Linked DNA regions of Saccharomyces cerevisiae S288C. Changing the gene in region 1 together with any one later gene gives a genetic interaction. Each region holds a gene or a part of one and is shown in the gene's direction. Other genes may lie near its edges.

Region 1 (3,505 bases):
TAGCTCATCAAGAAGGCGATGTTTGTTATTATATTCCAAGGCTGTTCAAATACAACAGTTATTATAGTGGGACAGAGGACGTTCGAATATTTGTTGGAGATTTAAAGTACCGGATGAGAGTTTCTTTGCAAATTTGCGAAAAGTATTATGATAGGCGGTTGTCGATGTTGTTCTGGAAAAATCATCCTTTACAGCAAATACACCTTATTGGCTGCATCATTGGACTCCAGTTCAAATGGATTGGGAAACAAGAATACATTTTTTTTCAGTTGGACGATTGTACTTCAGACTCTTCATTGGTGGGTTATACTAGTGACATGAGATTCTTAACATGTAAAGTTAAGAAGGATAGCATCCTATCATGGGGGTTGAACATAACCGATTTGATAGGCTTAACTCTTCATGTCTACGGGCAAGCAAGTTTGAACTATCAAGAGCTTCAAGTTGAATATTTAAGATTATGCTACAGTTTAACGGAAGAAATAGATCATTGGAAAATCACAATGAACATGCGTGAGCAACTTGACACGCCTTGGTCCTTAAGCGATTTTGTAATTGGAGAATTGTTCACGCAAGAGCAAGAGTGGACACCTGAGACATCACAGATTGAGGTAGTAAACCCGGATTTTGTAGGTATAGGGTACAAAACCCCAGAAAGTAAAAGAAATGAAACTACTTTCATCGAGCAACTGCAAGAAGAACGCTTGAAGGATGAATTAGAAATTATTAGTCCATACAATAGCACAGATACTTCGAATAGTGTGCATTCCTTGTCATTTCGGTTTGTATCGTCGCTAAAGGATTTTCCTGAAACTCACTTTTTGAATTCAGGTGATCAAATTGACAACGGCAATGACGAACAGTTAAAAAAACTAGAATATCAAAGCGCTAATCTACCTGTGATGATTCCCAATAGGACATCAGCAAAGTCAAACTTGATGTTGATCCTATTAGGACTACAAATGAAAGAGATTTCTAATTCTGACCTTTACAAACTAAAGGAAGTACGCAGCGTAGTAACTAGCTTAGCATCGTTTTTGTTTCAACAACAAAATGTTGGCGTCATGAAATCTTTTGACTCTTTGGAAAAGGAAGCGTTTCGAGACCTGGTTAATCGTCTAGTCAGCCAGGGTTTGATCGGATTAAAAGATAAAACAAGTGAGACATTTGATTTGCTTCCTCTAAAAAATCTTTTTGAATATGCTGAAAAACGTATATCAGTTCTAATGAAGCTACAATGTTATACAGGCACTGTGCAATTAAGTCATGTTCAGGAAAAGCTACATTTGCCGTACATAACAACGAACGGCATCGTTGATGTTTTCAAAGAATGTCTTAAAAGGACAAAGAAACAGTATCCTGAGGTACTAAAAAATTGGTGGATTGATCTTGATCCGAAGAATGGTATGGAGGACCAAAACAGTGGAATATTATTACATTTGGAATACGCAGCAGCATATTCATAATTTGTTAGAAAACTCGCATCGTCAATAACGGCGCATCTCTCTAGGCCTGAAAAATTTTGCGATGAGCTCAAAATAAGATACTATAACTTTATGCATATATTGTATATATATTATATCAAACAAATAAGGACGTTAACGAAATTTTATATGGCCTTATTTAACGTAGAAGGTTGGTCTATTAAGACAAAAACCGTCGCTTTTGATAACAAGACTAATAAGTCTTCAAAAGATAAAAAAAAAAATAATAGAAAAAATGGCAAACTTACAAGAGAACAGAAGTTGAAAGAAGAGACAGAGGCTGAGTTGAAGGAACAAGTGGAAGACATTCCTTCCGAAGGATCAGTAGCCAAAGACATCCCAAAAAAAAACCAAGAGAAAAGTGATCAAAATGAAACGAGCAAGAAACGCAAGCACGATGAAGAAGCCCCTCTGATGCAAGTAAAAGAAAATATTGAAAAACCTACAAAGAAGCAACTAACCCCTTTACAACAAAAGATGATGGCTAAACTGACTGGTTCTAGATTTAGATGGATCAATGAACAACTGTATACAATTAGCTCTGATGAAGCTTTGAAATTAATAAAAGAACAACCACAATTATTTGACGAATATCATGATGGTTTTAGATCACAAGTGCAAGCATGGCCGGAAAATCCAGTTGATGTTTTTGTTGACCAAATTCGTTATAGATGCATGAAACCTGTGAATGCTCCAGGTGGGTTACCAGGTCTTAAGGATAGTAAAGAAATAGTTATTGCTGATATGGGGTGTGGTGAAGCTCAATTAGCATTAGAAATCAACAATTTTTTCAAAAATTACAATAAGAAAGCGAAGAAATATTTGAAAAGACGCCATAAAGTCCACAGTTTTGATTTGAAGAAAGCTAACGAAAGAATAACTGTGGCAGATATTAGAAATGTGCCGCTACCAGATGAGTCCTGTACTATAGTGGTCTTCTGCCTGGCTCTAATGGGTACAAATTTCCTCGATTTCATAAAAGAAGCTTATAGGATTTTAGCGCCAAGGGGTGAATTATGGATCGCAGAAATTAAATCAAGGTTTAGTGACGGCAAAGGTAATGAATTTGTAGACGCTTTGAAGCTGATGGGATTTTTTCACAAAAAGACCTTCGACGAGAATAAGATGTTTACAAGATTCGAATTTTTCAAGCCACCTGCGGAGATTATTGAAGAGAGAAGGCAGAAATTGGAAAGAAGACAAAAGTTTATTGAAGTTGAAACTGAGAAGGAAGAATTAGAAAAGAAAAGACGGAAAATTGCCGAAGGAAAATGGCTCTTGAAGCCCTGTATTTATAAAAGAAGATAACGACTTCATCCGTCATTTTCATATTTTAATATTGTTTTTTCTTTTGTATACTATATTTATACATATAATTGTATTCTTTTCCTGTAGTACATTGCGTAAAGTAAAAATCATCTAGAAGAAGTACTCCACAATGTTCACATGAGGGACAAGGTTTTATTGTCTCTGGAAAAACGATTGGATATTAGCCAGCCTTGAAAGATTTTCAAAGCCCGGAACAGAAGGAAGAGCGAACCAATTATTAGTATCTTGACCGTCAGATTGTCCACTATTGGGCTCCCATCTATCGCAACAACGAAATCCATACGTGTTCCAGGCGGTCAGACACATTGCAACAATGACCAAAATCAGGTAGAATATTTTCAGTCTTAAAAGACACAACACAGCGAAGACACCCCAGATTACGGGTGTCACATACATCGACCACCAGAATAACTTAGAATCGATGGCATTTATTGGTGGGCCCGGCGCATATTGCTTATATGATTCGAAAGTAAAATTAGAATCTTTGTTCACATCTGTAGAATCATACCACCAGCGTAATTGGACCAGTTTCCGACCTGTAATGTTTTTTGTTAAGTAAAAGTCAAAAGAAAGTAAAAGAACGACAGTGATGAATTGAGGTGTGAAATTCAAAAACATTGATCCTATGATATAAAATACAATGGGAACTGCCTTACCTGCCAGATGAAATGATAGTAGCAACGGGTGCGACG
Region 2 (3,597 bases), on another chromosome or scaffold:
TGGCACCAGTGATTTATACCGTTCCTGACCCGCCGTGTCCCATATCTCCATATGGATACGTTTCTCCGTAGAGGAGTCGTTAGAAGGAACCTCGATTGTCTTGGTGATGAACGCCGCACCTATCGTAGCCGCATGTTTTGCTAGAAACTTACCTGATTTGAGCCTAGTCACTATACTGGTTTTCCCCACTGATGAATCTCCTAGCAGTACCACTTTGATGGTTGCTTCCATATCGTATTCCTCCGTATTTTGTGCTACTTGTATTTCCTGGAGTAATTTTACTATCATTGTTCCTTAACGTGAAACGTAAGGCTAAAAAACAATAAACGACAAAAAAAAAACAAAAAAATGAAAAATGCAGAGGAGTTTCTCTGCATTTACTGGAAGCGATTAAATAAGATTGCCTCAAGAAAAGAAGTTATCGGTATAATCTTTTGTAGGTAATGAAGTTTACGTTAGAAGACCAAGTTGTGTTGATCACTGGTGGTTCACAAGGTCTTGGAAAGGAATTCGCCAAAAAATATTATAATGAGGCTGAAAACACAAAGATTATTATCGTCAGTAGGTCAGAGGCTAGACTGCTGGACACATGCAACGAAATTAGGATTGAAGCTCACCTGAGAAGGGAAACCACTGACGAGGGCCAAGTGCAACATAAGTTGGCTGCGCCCTTGGACCTTGAGCAACGGTTATTTTACTACCCATGCGACTTGTCCTGCTACGAATCCGTGGAATGTTTGTTCAATGCCCTGAGAGACTTGGATTTACTCCCTACACAAACGTTATGCTGTGCAGGGGGGGCTGTTCCTAAGTTATTTCGTGGGCTAAGCGGACATGAGTTGAACTTGGGTATGGACATCAACTATAAAACAACTTTGAACGTGGCACATCAGATTGCCCTTGCAGAGCAAACCAAGGAACACCACCTCATCATCTTTTCTAGTGCCACCGCGCTTTACCCATTTGTGGGCTATTCCCAGTATGCGCCTGCAAAAGCTGCAATCAAATCACTGGTAGCAATCTTAAGACAAGAACTGACGAACTTCCGTATCAGTTGTGTTTATCCTGGTAATTTTGAAAGCGAAGGTTTCACTGTAGAGCAGCTAACGAAACCCGAAATTACAAAGTTGATCGAAGGCCCCTCAGACGCTATCCCATGCAAACAAGCATGTGATATCATTGCCAAGTCGCTGGCCAGAGGTGATGATGACGTTTTTACAGATTTTGTCGGATGGATGATAATGGGGATGGACCTTGGGCTCACCGCAAAGAAAAGCCGCTTTGTTCCGTTGCAATGGATTTTTGGTGTCCTATCAAACATTCTGGTCGTGCCATTCTACATGGTTGGCTGTTCCTGGTATATCAGGAAATGGTTTCGTGAAAATGACGGCAAGAAGGCCAACTGAGAGCACATCCACTCTCATTCCCGATATTCCCCGTGACTCTCTTTATTTCTTTCAAGACAAACCCTAGTGGTGTAGCTATTTGTACATGTATAAGTATATACGAAATATTAATTATAACATTATTACCACGGCGATATTTTCCTATTTTTATTCTCTTTTCTTACTATATTTTGAAAGTTTTTCTTATGGGTACCGATGCGATGAGGTGAAAAAAATTTTCCTCTTTCCACTTTTAGTACAGGTTATGAGATGCTTCTCATTAGAAGTCAAGAAGAGAGCATATCAGTAACAATACGATGAGTAGCAGTGGTGTTTATACGTGTAATTCATGTGTCCTGACCTTTGATTCAAGCGACGAGCAGCGGGCCCACATGAAGTCCGATTGGCATCGCTACAATTTGAAAAGACGTGTTGCACAATTGCCACCAATATCATTTGAGACATTTGACTCCAAAGTGTCTGCAGCTGCTGCCAGTACTAGTAAGTCTGCTGAAAAGGAGAAACCTGTTACCAAAAAGGAGTTGAAAAGAAGGGAAAAGCAAGCATTGCTCGAAAAGAAAAAGAAACTGTTGGAAATTGCCAGGGCTAATATGCTTGAAAACATGCAAAAGAGCCAAGAGGGAAATACTCCCGACCTAAGCAAGCTCTCTTTGCAAGAAAATGAGGAGAACAAGGAAAAGGAAGAACCTAAGAAGGAGGAGCCTGAACAGTTGACCGAGGAAGAAATGGCGGAAAGAGTAATGCAAGAAAAGCTACGCAACAGAGTCGATATTCCACTGGAACAATGTCTATTTTGTGAGCACAATAAGCACTTCAAAGATGTTGAAGAAAACCTGGAACACATGTTTAGGACCCACGGGTTTTATATCCCAGAACAGAAATATCTAGTCGACAAGATCGGCTTGGTAAAATACATGTCGGAGAAGATTGGTCTTGGGAACATTTGTATTGTTTGTAATTACCAGGGGAGAACGTTGACCGCTGTAAGACAGCACATGTTGGCAAAGAGACACTGTAAAATTCCCTACGAAAGCGAGGATGAAAGGTTGGAGATATCTGAATTCTACGATTTTACAAGCTCATACGCAAACTTTAATAGCAACACAACACCAGACAACGAAGATGACTGGGAAGACGTGGGCAGCGACGAAGCCGGAAGCGACGACGAAGATCTGCCACAAGAGTACTTATATAACGATGGTATAGAGCTGCATCTACCGACAGGCATCAAAGTTGGCCACAGGTCCTTGCAAAGATACTACAAGCAAGACTTAAAGCCCGAGGTGATACTGACCGAAGGCCAAGGTACCCTGGTCGCTGCAGAGACGAGATCGTTCTTACCTGCCTTCGACAAAAAGGGCGTGCAGACTCAACAGCGTGTTTGGCAAACTGAGAGGTTCGACAAGAAAAGGCTCGATAAGAGAAGTGCCAAGTTCGTCAATAACCAACCACACTACAGAGACCAACTTCTGCAGTAATTCTTTTTGCACTACTTTTTTTAGTATTTTGTCGCATATATACTGCTTCACCATTTGTACATTAGATAATTCTTCACTACCCCCTCTATAGCAATGTTATAGTCATTGAATCATGCTTTGAAATGCCTGTTCTAATATTCTCTTCATATAATAAATGCGTGATGCCGGGTATTTGTGCGCCCTTGTTTGGCGCAAAAATCTCGAAAGTGAAAAAACTAATAGGCTTCTTAAAGCAGTTATATCTACAGCAAAGGAAATAGCTGCTGAAGACTGAAGATGTTGGCGCGCAGTTTGGGTTACAGGTTGATATCGACCAGTCGTATCTTATATAATAAACCCACGGTTAAGTCAGTGGTGTCGTCGTGTCCTGCGGGAACATCGCTTAACTTAAACATATGGAAGAGCGGTAAAGACGCAGTGGCACTCGAGGACAAGGAGTATCCAAATTGGTTATGGAGCGTATTGGATAGTGATCACGTTGTCGAACATGCGGCTGAGGACCCAGAGGGACAGGCTCTCTTAAAGAGAAGAAAGAACATAAGGAAGGCGAACAGGCAGCGAATCAAGCAAAACAATTTCTTGAGCCAACTTTAAGCCTCCGTTAATAAGATCAAGTTTGGTATCCTTGTAAATAAATATGTGTGTACGTGGTTAAATAGTATGTTTTTAGCATAATGCCTTATTTTGTACCAACAAAAACATGATAGTTCCCA
Region 3 (4,243 bases), on another chromosome or scaffold:
AATGACGTTTGCAGAGTATTACGACTACAATTCAAACCTTATTTGTCCCAATTGCAGATCCCCCTTTAATCCAGGCTGTAAATTGCACTACCATTTGTATTTCCAGAACCCTCCCCCCGCTATGTGTTGAGTGTTGTTCTATAAATGCATGCCATCTTAAGCTCTGCTGTGCTCTTCTCGTTAAGGAAAAAATGCGATGGTATATATATAGATATATATATATATATATGTATCTGTATATATATGTTCATACATATATATATATCTATTATTGTTGTTATTATTATCGTGATTATTATTTAGGTCCTCCCTTCTTTTTACCTGTTTTTAATCTACCCTCAAATCCGGCTCTTTTCTTTGGTACGGCACTACCGACATACTTTCTTTTCATCTTTTCTTGCTTATTTCTCTTTTTACCCTTGTTGTCTTTCCTAATCCTCAGATTCTCTTCTCTTCTCTTTTGTCTTTCAGATATCGTGTCTTCCACAACCCTCTTACGTTCGCTCCATTCAATCGCAGACTTTCTCTTTTGTGCTTCCTTTCTCTTTATAGCTTTGCGAAGTAGTTTTTCGTCATCCCTAATCTTAATTCCTTCTGCTTGTAACATAGCCTTTTGCCATTTTTCCTTTTCCTTCTGCTTGATTTGTTCTAGTTCGTCTTTCGCCTCCATCTTATTCTTCTTGGCTTCTAATAACTTTAAGTGTGATTTTACATCATTCTTAGCCGGACCCTTCGTTCTACCAGCTTTTCTTAACCTTTGTAAATCTGAAGTGGCCCTTGCACCATCATCGAATATGATATTTTGAAACATTACACCATCTGCGTTAATTTCTGAGTCCTTCTTGCCTTTTTTGAATCTTTTTTTCGAATTGTTTTCTAAATCACTATCGATGTCTTCCATATCGGAATCAGACGCAATTTCATCCTGATCCTGTTCCTGTTCACTTTCTAGACGCTTTCTTTTTTTCAACTCTTCCTTGCGTTTCCTTTGAGCAAGAATAGCCTCTCTAGAACCGGGTGCTTTCCTTTTACTCTTCATATCTGAAATTTTCGCTTGTAACTTGGAACGTAGTGCTTCCAAGTTTTTCTTTCTTTGTAGTTTCTCTTCCTCTGTAATAGACTTCTTTTCGACAGATCTATCGGGCTCTGTAGTATCTTTTTTAGATTCTAATGGTATTTCATTTCCCTCATCATCAAAGATCACCTTAATATCCTCTTCCTCTTCTTCATCTTCGTCTGGTGCTATTATCATAGGATCGTTTACTTCTACGTTCAGGTCGGAGTCTCCTTCCACTTTTGATGTTGCTTCCTTTTGCTTTTGCATTTTCATGTGCTTGAATTTTTCACCAGGTAGGACCACCGGCTTTGCGTCTTTCTCCTTCTTCTTCATTACTTCTAATGTACTAGATGTTTCATCATCACGTTGCTCCGGGTCTAATTTTTTCAGTTTATCATTTTTACTCTGTTCTTTGGTTTTCTTCTTGGCCTTCCATTGCTCTTGACTTTTTTCATCATAATAGTATTTTGCAGGAATTAAAGCCAATAAACCATCGAAGGCGCTTGAATTAGCACGAAGGCGCTCCTCAAGTGAATTACTCATCTCAGTCTCCTATATCTTTCAATTCCCGGACTTTCTTTATCACTTGCAACAACGTCTCAGTCCTCACTTGTTATTCATCTCTTGGTCATCTCATCTCTTTTATTGTACTTTCCTCTTTTCTTTACCGGAGATGAGAATAAAAAGAATTCATTTTAAAAAATTTTCAATTTGGTGTCTGGGTGAAACTTTTTAATCGTGTAATCCCAATTAAACCACTCTACTTTACTTTAATTGGTACACGAACTCATTACACACCTTTGCCTCTATTGCTTGTGTCAATCGTGTTGAGAGAGGAAGCCCAAAACAAGGGAAATTAACCTCTGTAGGCAAGCCATCACATTTGGCAATAGCAGCCCTCATTTAATTTAATTCGGCATGTGGCCGGCAGGGTAATGCGCTCTGCTGCTGACAAAATTGAAAGAAAAATTTTTTTCATCAACAGTTTGCAATACTTTCTTTTTCATATTTAATTCATCCATTCCGTCGTTAATTTTGTTCAAAACTGGTGTCCATCCTTAATACCAACTCAATTCTTTGATTTTGGCCCTCGATAGATTCAAGATGTCCCAAGGTACTTTATACATTAATAGATCTCCAAGAAACTACGCTTCTGAAGCTTTGATTTCTTACTTTAAACTAGATGTCAAGATCGTTGATCTAGAACAATCTAGCGAGTTTGCTTCTTTGTTCCCATTGAAGCAAGCCCCTGCATTTTTGGGTCCAAAGGGCTTAAAGCTAACTGAAGCTTTGGCTATCCAATTTTATTGTATGTTCCATATTTTATTTTAACACTTCCACATACATTGTTTTGCGCGTTTCCCGTTCGTTTATTTGGCACGTCATTTTTCTTCGAAACATAATGATGAAAAAAAATTTTATCAAACAGTTATCCCTGTCTGAATGGGTAATAATAGGTAACCTCTCATATGTTGATATTTGTATTTCTGATATGTTTCTTAAAGAAAAATGAAAGTCAAAATAACAAAAAGGAAGTACAAAGCGTGTCCTAATCCAGGAAAAAATATAAAGGATTGTTTTACTAACATTTCTTCAATTAATGGTTGTATAACCATCGAGATGATGTATATTTAGTGGCTAATCAAGTTGCCGATGAAAAAGAAAGAGCTCGCTTATTAGGTTCCGACGTTATCGAAAAGTCTCAAATCCTTAGATGGGCATCTCTAGCTAATTCCGATGTCATGAGCAACATTGCTCGTCCATTCCTTTCTTTCAAAGGTTTGATTCCATACAACAAGAAAGACGTTGATGCTTGTTTTGTTAAAATCGACAACCTAGCTGCTGTCTTCGATGCTAGATTGAGAGACTACACCTTTGTTGCTACCGAAAACATTTCTCTAGGTGACCTTCATGCCGCTGGTTCTTGGGCTTTTGGTTTGGCCACTATTTTGGGCCCTGAATGGAGAGCTAAGCATCCTCATTTGATGAGATGGTTCAACACTGTTGCTGCTTCTCCAATCGTGAAGACTCCATTTGCTGAAGTCAAATTGGCTGAAAAGGCTCTAACCTACACTCCACCAAAGAAGCAAAAGGCTGAAAAGCCAAAGGCCGAAAAGTCAAAGGCTGAAAAGAAGAAGGACGAAGCTAAGCCAGCAGATGATGCTGCTCCAGCTAAAAAGCCAAAGCACCCATTGGAAGCTTTAGGAAAGTCCACATTTGTCTTGGATGACTGGAAGAGAAAGTACTCCAACGACGACACCAGACCAGTTGCTTTGCCATGGTTCTGGGAACACTACAACCCTGAAGAATACTCCATCTGGAAGGTTGGTTACAAATACAACGACGAACTTACCTTGACTTTCATGTCCAACAACTTGGTCGGTGGTTTTTTCAACAGATTGTCCGCTTCTACTAAGTACATGTTCGGTTGTTTAGTTGTCTATGGTGAAAACAACAATAATGGTATTGTTGGTGCCGTTATGGTCAGAGGCCAAGATTTCGCTCCAGCCTTTGATGTCGCTCCAGACTGGGAATCTTACGAATACACCAAGTTGGACCCAACCAAGGAAGAAGACAAAGAATTTGTCAACAACATGTGGGCTTGGGATAAGCCTGTTGTTGTCAATGGCGAAGATAAGGAAATTGTTGACGGTAAGGTTTTGAAATAATCTCAATAACTCTTCTTCCATATTTTCTTCCCAATATACATAAGAGTCAAACAAAACGAATTTTCAAAAGAAAAAAGAAAAAAACCCTGAAGTCTACTTCATGATTACCCCATACTTACGCGTGGTTTAATTCTATGTAACGATTAACGTCCATGTAATCATTATATATATATATATTGTAATAATCTCTCTAATTGAGTATCACAATCTGCTGCGGTTACTCTAACAATATTTTGCATAAACTTGATTCTTCTCTTCTTATTTCATGTTTCAGTGGGGCATTTTCCATTGTACTTTTGCAACAATAGCGAAAAAAACAATTTTCCGTAAAGAGAAGCGTCAGTCATAAACGGTGTATGTTACCCGAACTGGAATGAATTTTATCTTAAGACTGGAAAACAATTTAGGATAGAACTGAAGATAGTGCAACACGTCTGGTGATATCATGTGCTTTCAAGCAGGATTTGTCACAGTGCTTTAGAAACACAAACAAAGGAGGTATATAGAAGTTGCAGTT
Region 4 (3,198 bases), on another chromosome or scaffold:
ATTCTAGATACGACTAGGGAGTGGTTTAGAAAGTATAAAGTTCCAGCAGGGAAGCCATTAAATAGTTTCGCCTTTCATGAACAGTATCAAAATTCCAATAAAACCATCCAAACTATAAAGAAATGTCACAATTCGTGGAAAAACCTCATTTCAGGATCACTCCAGGAGAAGTATGACAACCTGCCTAATACAGAAAGGGCTGGTAATGGTGTCACACTTGAAGATAGTGTTAAACCCCCTTCTCAAATACCGCCTGAGGTGCAAAAATGGTATTACGTTTAATATGAAAATAATACCTTCGAAGAAAATGTTTAGATAAAGGTTCCTTGTATATAATTACGTAATCTCTGCTCTCTCGAATGTTGGCTGCTTGATGTATGTGAACGTTTGGAAAGAAACTTGGGTTTATATTCACTGCTAAAATGACATCCTATTAGAAGTTCGTCTTTCTCCGGTTCGGTTAGTCTACTCACCTAGAAACATCTTGCGAAAATCGTCGTTGGACATCTGCTCTTGTTTGTCAGGAATTTTTTTCTTTACTTGAAGATTTGGTCCTTTTTCCATCATGTTTATACAACTAGGTTTGACGTGTTTCATGCTGTGATTCTGTTGATTGTTATAATATCTTTTCATGTCATTAATAGTACCTGAACGTATCACCTTTCCCTGAAATTGAGATCCATTTAGTATCATTAGCATTTTTGCTGCAAACTTACTATCTCTAAATATAATAATGGCGCCATTGAAGTCGCTAACGAGAAGTATTTTCCTAATATCTTTTTCATTGATGTGTATTTCTTCCTGAAGAAATTGGCAGATTAAGCTTGGTGACACCTTATCTGAAAGTGGAAATAAGCATATTAGTGTTTCTAGTTCTTTGCTGTTACGCGATGCGAGAAGTCTTTTGACTTCGTTTCTTTCTAAGAATGGTTTTTTATCAGCCAAGGAAACGGAAATTTCCCTATTACCTAACAAACTTCTATTCATTTGAAGTGCCCTTTCAGCAGAATCTTTATTTTCAAAAACCATAAATGCACAACAGTTATTGAAACTGTGCTCTTTCTGTCCAGCAGGTATGTTGATTTTTTCAATGGAACCAAATCCCTCAAAAGATTCCCTCAGAAGGTTTTCGTCGAGCAATTCTGTACTTAGGTTTCGTATCATAATCTCTCGCCCCTCTAGTGTGGCAGAATCGGTCCGTTTCGACTTTTCCAGCGGATTGGAAACTTTAGTAACTAAAGTATAACCTTCTATTTTGAGTCCATTCAATTTTTCTACACAATATCTTGCATCCTCTTTAGAAGTAACATCGATGTAAGCGAACCTTCTGCTTGTATTGAATCGTAAACTGGGAAGCCGTATACTGAGTGCAACAACGTTAATATCTTGCAATAGATCTCTAATATTTCTTTGAGTATAACTTGGGGGGAAATTCGTCATCCATAATGTGCATTCTGTTAAATGAGATACTATAATTTCATTCTGACCTACAACTTTGTGTGTTTTGGTTATTGCAGCGAGGGCTCCATCATACCTGGCAAATTCAATACGTGCAAAACGAAAGTTCTTCTTCAGCGAATCCGCAACATCAACGTGTATAATGGGCCCACAATGTTTGAAGTACTTATAGACTTTGTTTTGATTATAGCTCTTAGGCAAATTTTTGACTAATACAGTTGTTAATTCTCTATTTCTTGTTAAAGCTTCGTTCGCCTTCTTAGAAGTTAATCCTGCGGCTGCTGGTGATCCTTCATCCAATGGTCGTTTTGAATCTGGTCTAGCGTGATGTCCATACTCCATTATCACAGATTATGAAGTGAATATGTGGGCTTGTTTATCGCTAATGATTCTCATATAATAAATATAAAGGGTTTTCAATGTTGTAGTAAATCTGCCATTTTGAATAAGTTCCCGCCTGAAAATTTTTTAGCGATGACTTTAAAAAAGACATTGATGCACTCTACAATTCATTGTCATGATGTACATAGAAAATTGAATGATACAAGCGGAAATATTATCAGAATAAATCGGACATGGATAGCAAAGAATATCTGATATCATATGGTTGGAAAGAAGGAGAAGCGTTTAGAGAAGGTGGTTTGAAAAGACCCATACTGGTAAAGCACAAGAGAGATAAGAAGGGATTGGGTAATGCTCCTGGCGGGAATGATGGCGAAGCATGGTGGGAAAGGCTATTTGATGGACATCTGAAGAACCTGGATGTAAGCACTGATTCGAATAATGGCAGTATTAAATTTACTCAAAATGAGGCAGTTGCTACTGCTGTATCGAAAAGTAGCTCACCTCTATACAGGTGGTTTGTAAAGGGAGAAGGGCTGAAAGGAACCATTACTAATCTTGGTAAAAAGGAGGAAGCCAGCTTTGTTGTATCTAGTGCAAGTTCGAGTAAAGGGAAGAAGAGAAGAAGGCGTGATGAAGATGATAACAAGGTCAAGAGAAAAAAATTGAAAAAAGATAAAAAGACTAGTAACGACAGTGAGAGTAAGAAGAAGAAGAAGAAGAAAAGCAAGAAGGAGAGTAAAAAAGGAAAGAAAAGTAAGCATAGCAGCGATGAAGGTGATAAATCGAAGCATAAAAAATCCAAAAAGTCAAAAAAACATAAAAAGGAAGAAAGTTCAGCAAGAAGAGATAGAAAGGAGCATATATGATTATCATAGTCTAATATGTAAATATGTATCCGTAAAAGACATTCTTAAAAGTTTGAATTTATGATCTTTTTATTTTTGTATTTAGTCTTTGTTTTCGAACTTTTATTAATATTAAATTTCAGTAAGTAAATTAAAAGAACATCTTTAAAAGAGTATATTTATTGTTACATATGTTGATCTTAAAAGGAGATGAATATTTCTTAATGGAAAAAGGTAAAAAAAAGATTTTCTCATTCATATGTTCCCATTAGGCAGTTCTATGAGGCAGTCGTCCAACTCGTAATCAGAGATCTCATTCTCATCCTCTAAGTAGCCCTTTACCTGAAAAAATGTTCTTTTGTTTAGAGCATCTTCCGTCTCTTCACGATTTAAGCGTTGTAGCTTGGATTTGTCCTTTGATGTCAACCGTTTATCCTTCAATAACTTTTCCACAGGTATGAAATCTTCTCTTGTTTTACTTAATAGCTCCTTTAAGTATGAACTGGTCTTTTTTGGCTGGTGATACTTTTTTAGAATTTGTTTGGGCAGT

The links.
Region 2: mutations in RRP8 (region 1) and REI1 together harm fitness more than expected from each alone (negative genetic interaction), as found in Saccharomyces cerevisiae (2 studies listed by BioGRID).
Region 3: mutations in RRP8 (region 1) and TEF4 together harm fitness more than expected from each alone (negative genetic interaction), as found in Saccharomyces cerevisiae (3 studies listed by BioGRID).
Region 4: mutations in RRP8 (region 1) and TMA23 together harm fitness more than expected from each alone (negative genetic interaction), as found in Saccharomyces cerevisiae (3 studies listed by BioGRID).

What each region holds. Positions count from the first base shown.
Region 1 is NC_001136.10:610,460-613,964, forward strand, and holds RRP8 (25S rRNA (adenine645-N1)-methyltransferase), read left to right. Parts: upstream 1-1,613; coding exon 1,614-2,792; downstream 2,793-3,505. Other genes in the region: STN1 (Stn1p), read left to right, coding at 1-1,466; TVP23 (Tvp23p), read right to left, coding at 2,946-3,505. UniProt on the Saccharomyces cerevisiae protein: S-adenosyl-L-methionine-dependent methyltransferase that specifically methylates the N(1) position of adenine 645 in 25S rRNA. Required both for ribosomal 40S and 60S subunits biogenesis. Required for efficient pre-rRNA cleavage at site A2.
Region 2 is NC_001134.8:738,139-741,735, forward strand, and holds REI1 (Rei1p), read left to right. Parts: upstream 1-1,702; coding exon 1,703-2,884; downstream 2,885-3,597. Other genes in the region: Rab family GTPase YPT10, read right to left, coding at 1-231; TSC10 (3-dehydrosphinganine reductase), read left to right, coding at 444-1,406; SLM6 (Slm6p), read right to left, coding at 1,798-2,250; mitochondrial 54S ribosomal protein mL54 MRPL37, read left to right, coding at 3,161-3,478. UniProt on the Saccharomyces cerevisiae protein: Pre-60S-associated factor involved in the cytoplasmic maturation of the 60S subunit. Involved in the dissociation and recycling of other late pre-60S factors like ARX1, TIF6 and ALB1 before newly synthesized large ribosomal subunits enter translation.
Region 3 is NC_001143.9:280,730-284,972, forward strand, and holds TEF4 (translation elongation factor EF1B gamma), read left to right. Parts: upstream 1-2,161; coding exon 2,162-2,366; intron 2,367-2,455; exon of another isoform or gene 2,456-2,550; intron 2,551-2,692; coding exon 2,693-3,726; downstream 3,727-4,243. Other genes in the region: HOT13 (Hot13p), read left to right, coding at 1-130; ribosome biosynthesis protein RRP14, read right to left, coding at 296-1,600. UniProt on the Saccharomyces cerevisiae protein: Subunit of the eukaryotic elongation factor 1 complex (eEF1). Probably plays a role in anchoring the complex to other cellular components.
Region 4 is NC_001145.3:802,423-805,620, forward strand, and holds TMA23 (Tma23p), read left to right. Parts: upstream 1-2,033; coding exon 2,034-2,669; downstream 2,670-3,198. Other genes in the region: inorganic diphosphatase PPA2, read left to right, coding at 1-282; U6 snRNP complex subunit PRP24, read right to left, coding at 466-1,800; RRN9 (Rrn9p), read right to left, coding at 2,904-3,198. UniProt on the Saccharomyces cerevisiae protein: Trans-acting factors of the ribosome biogenesis process.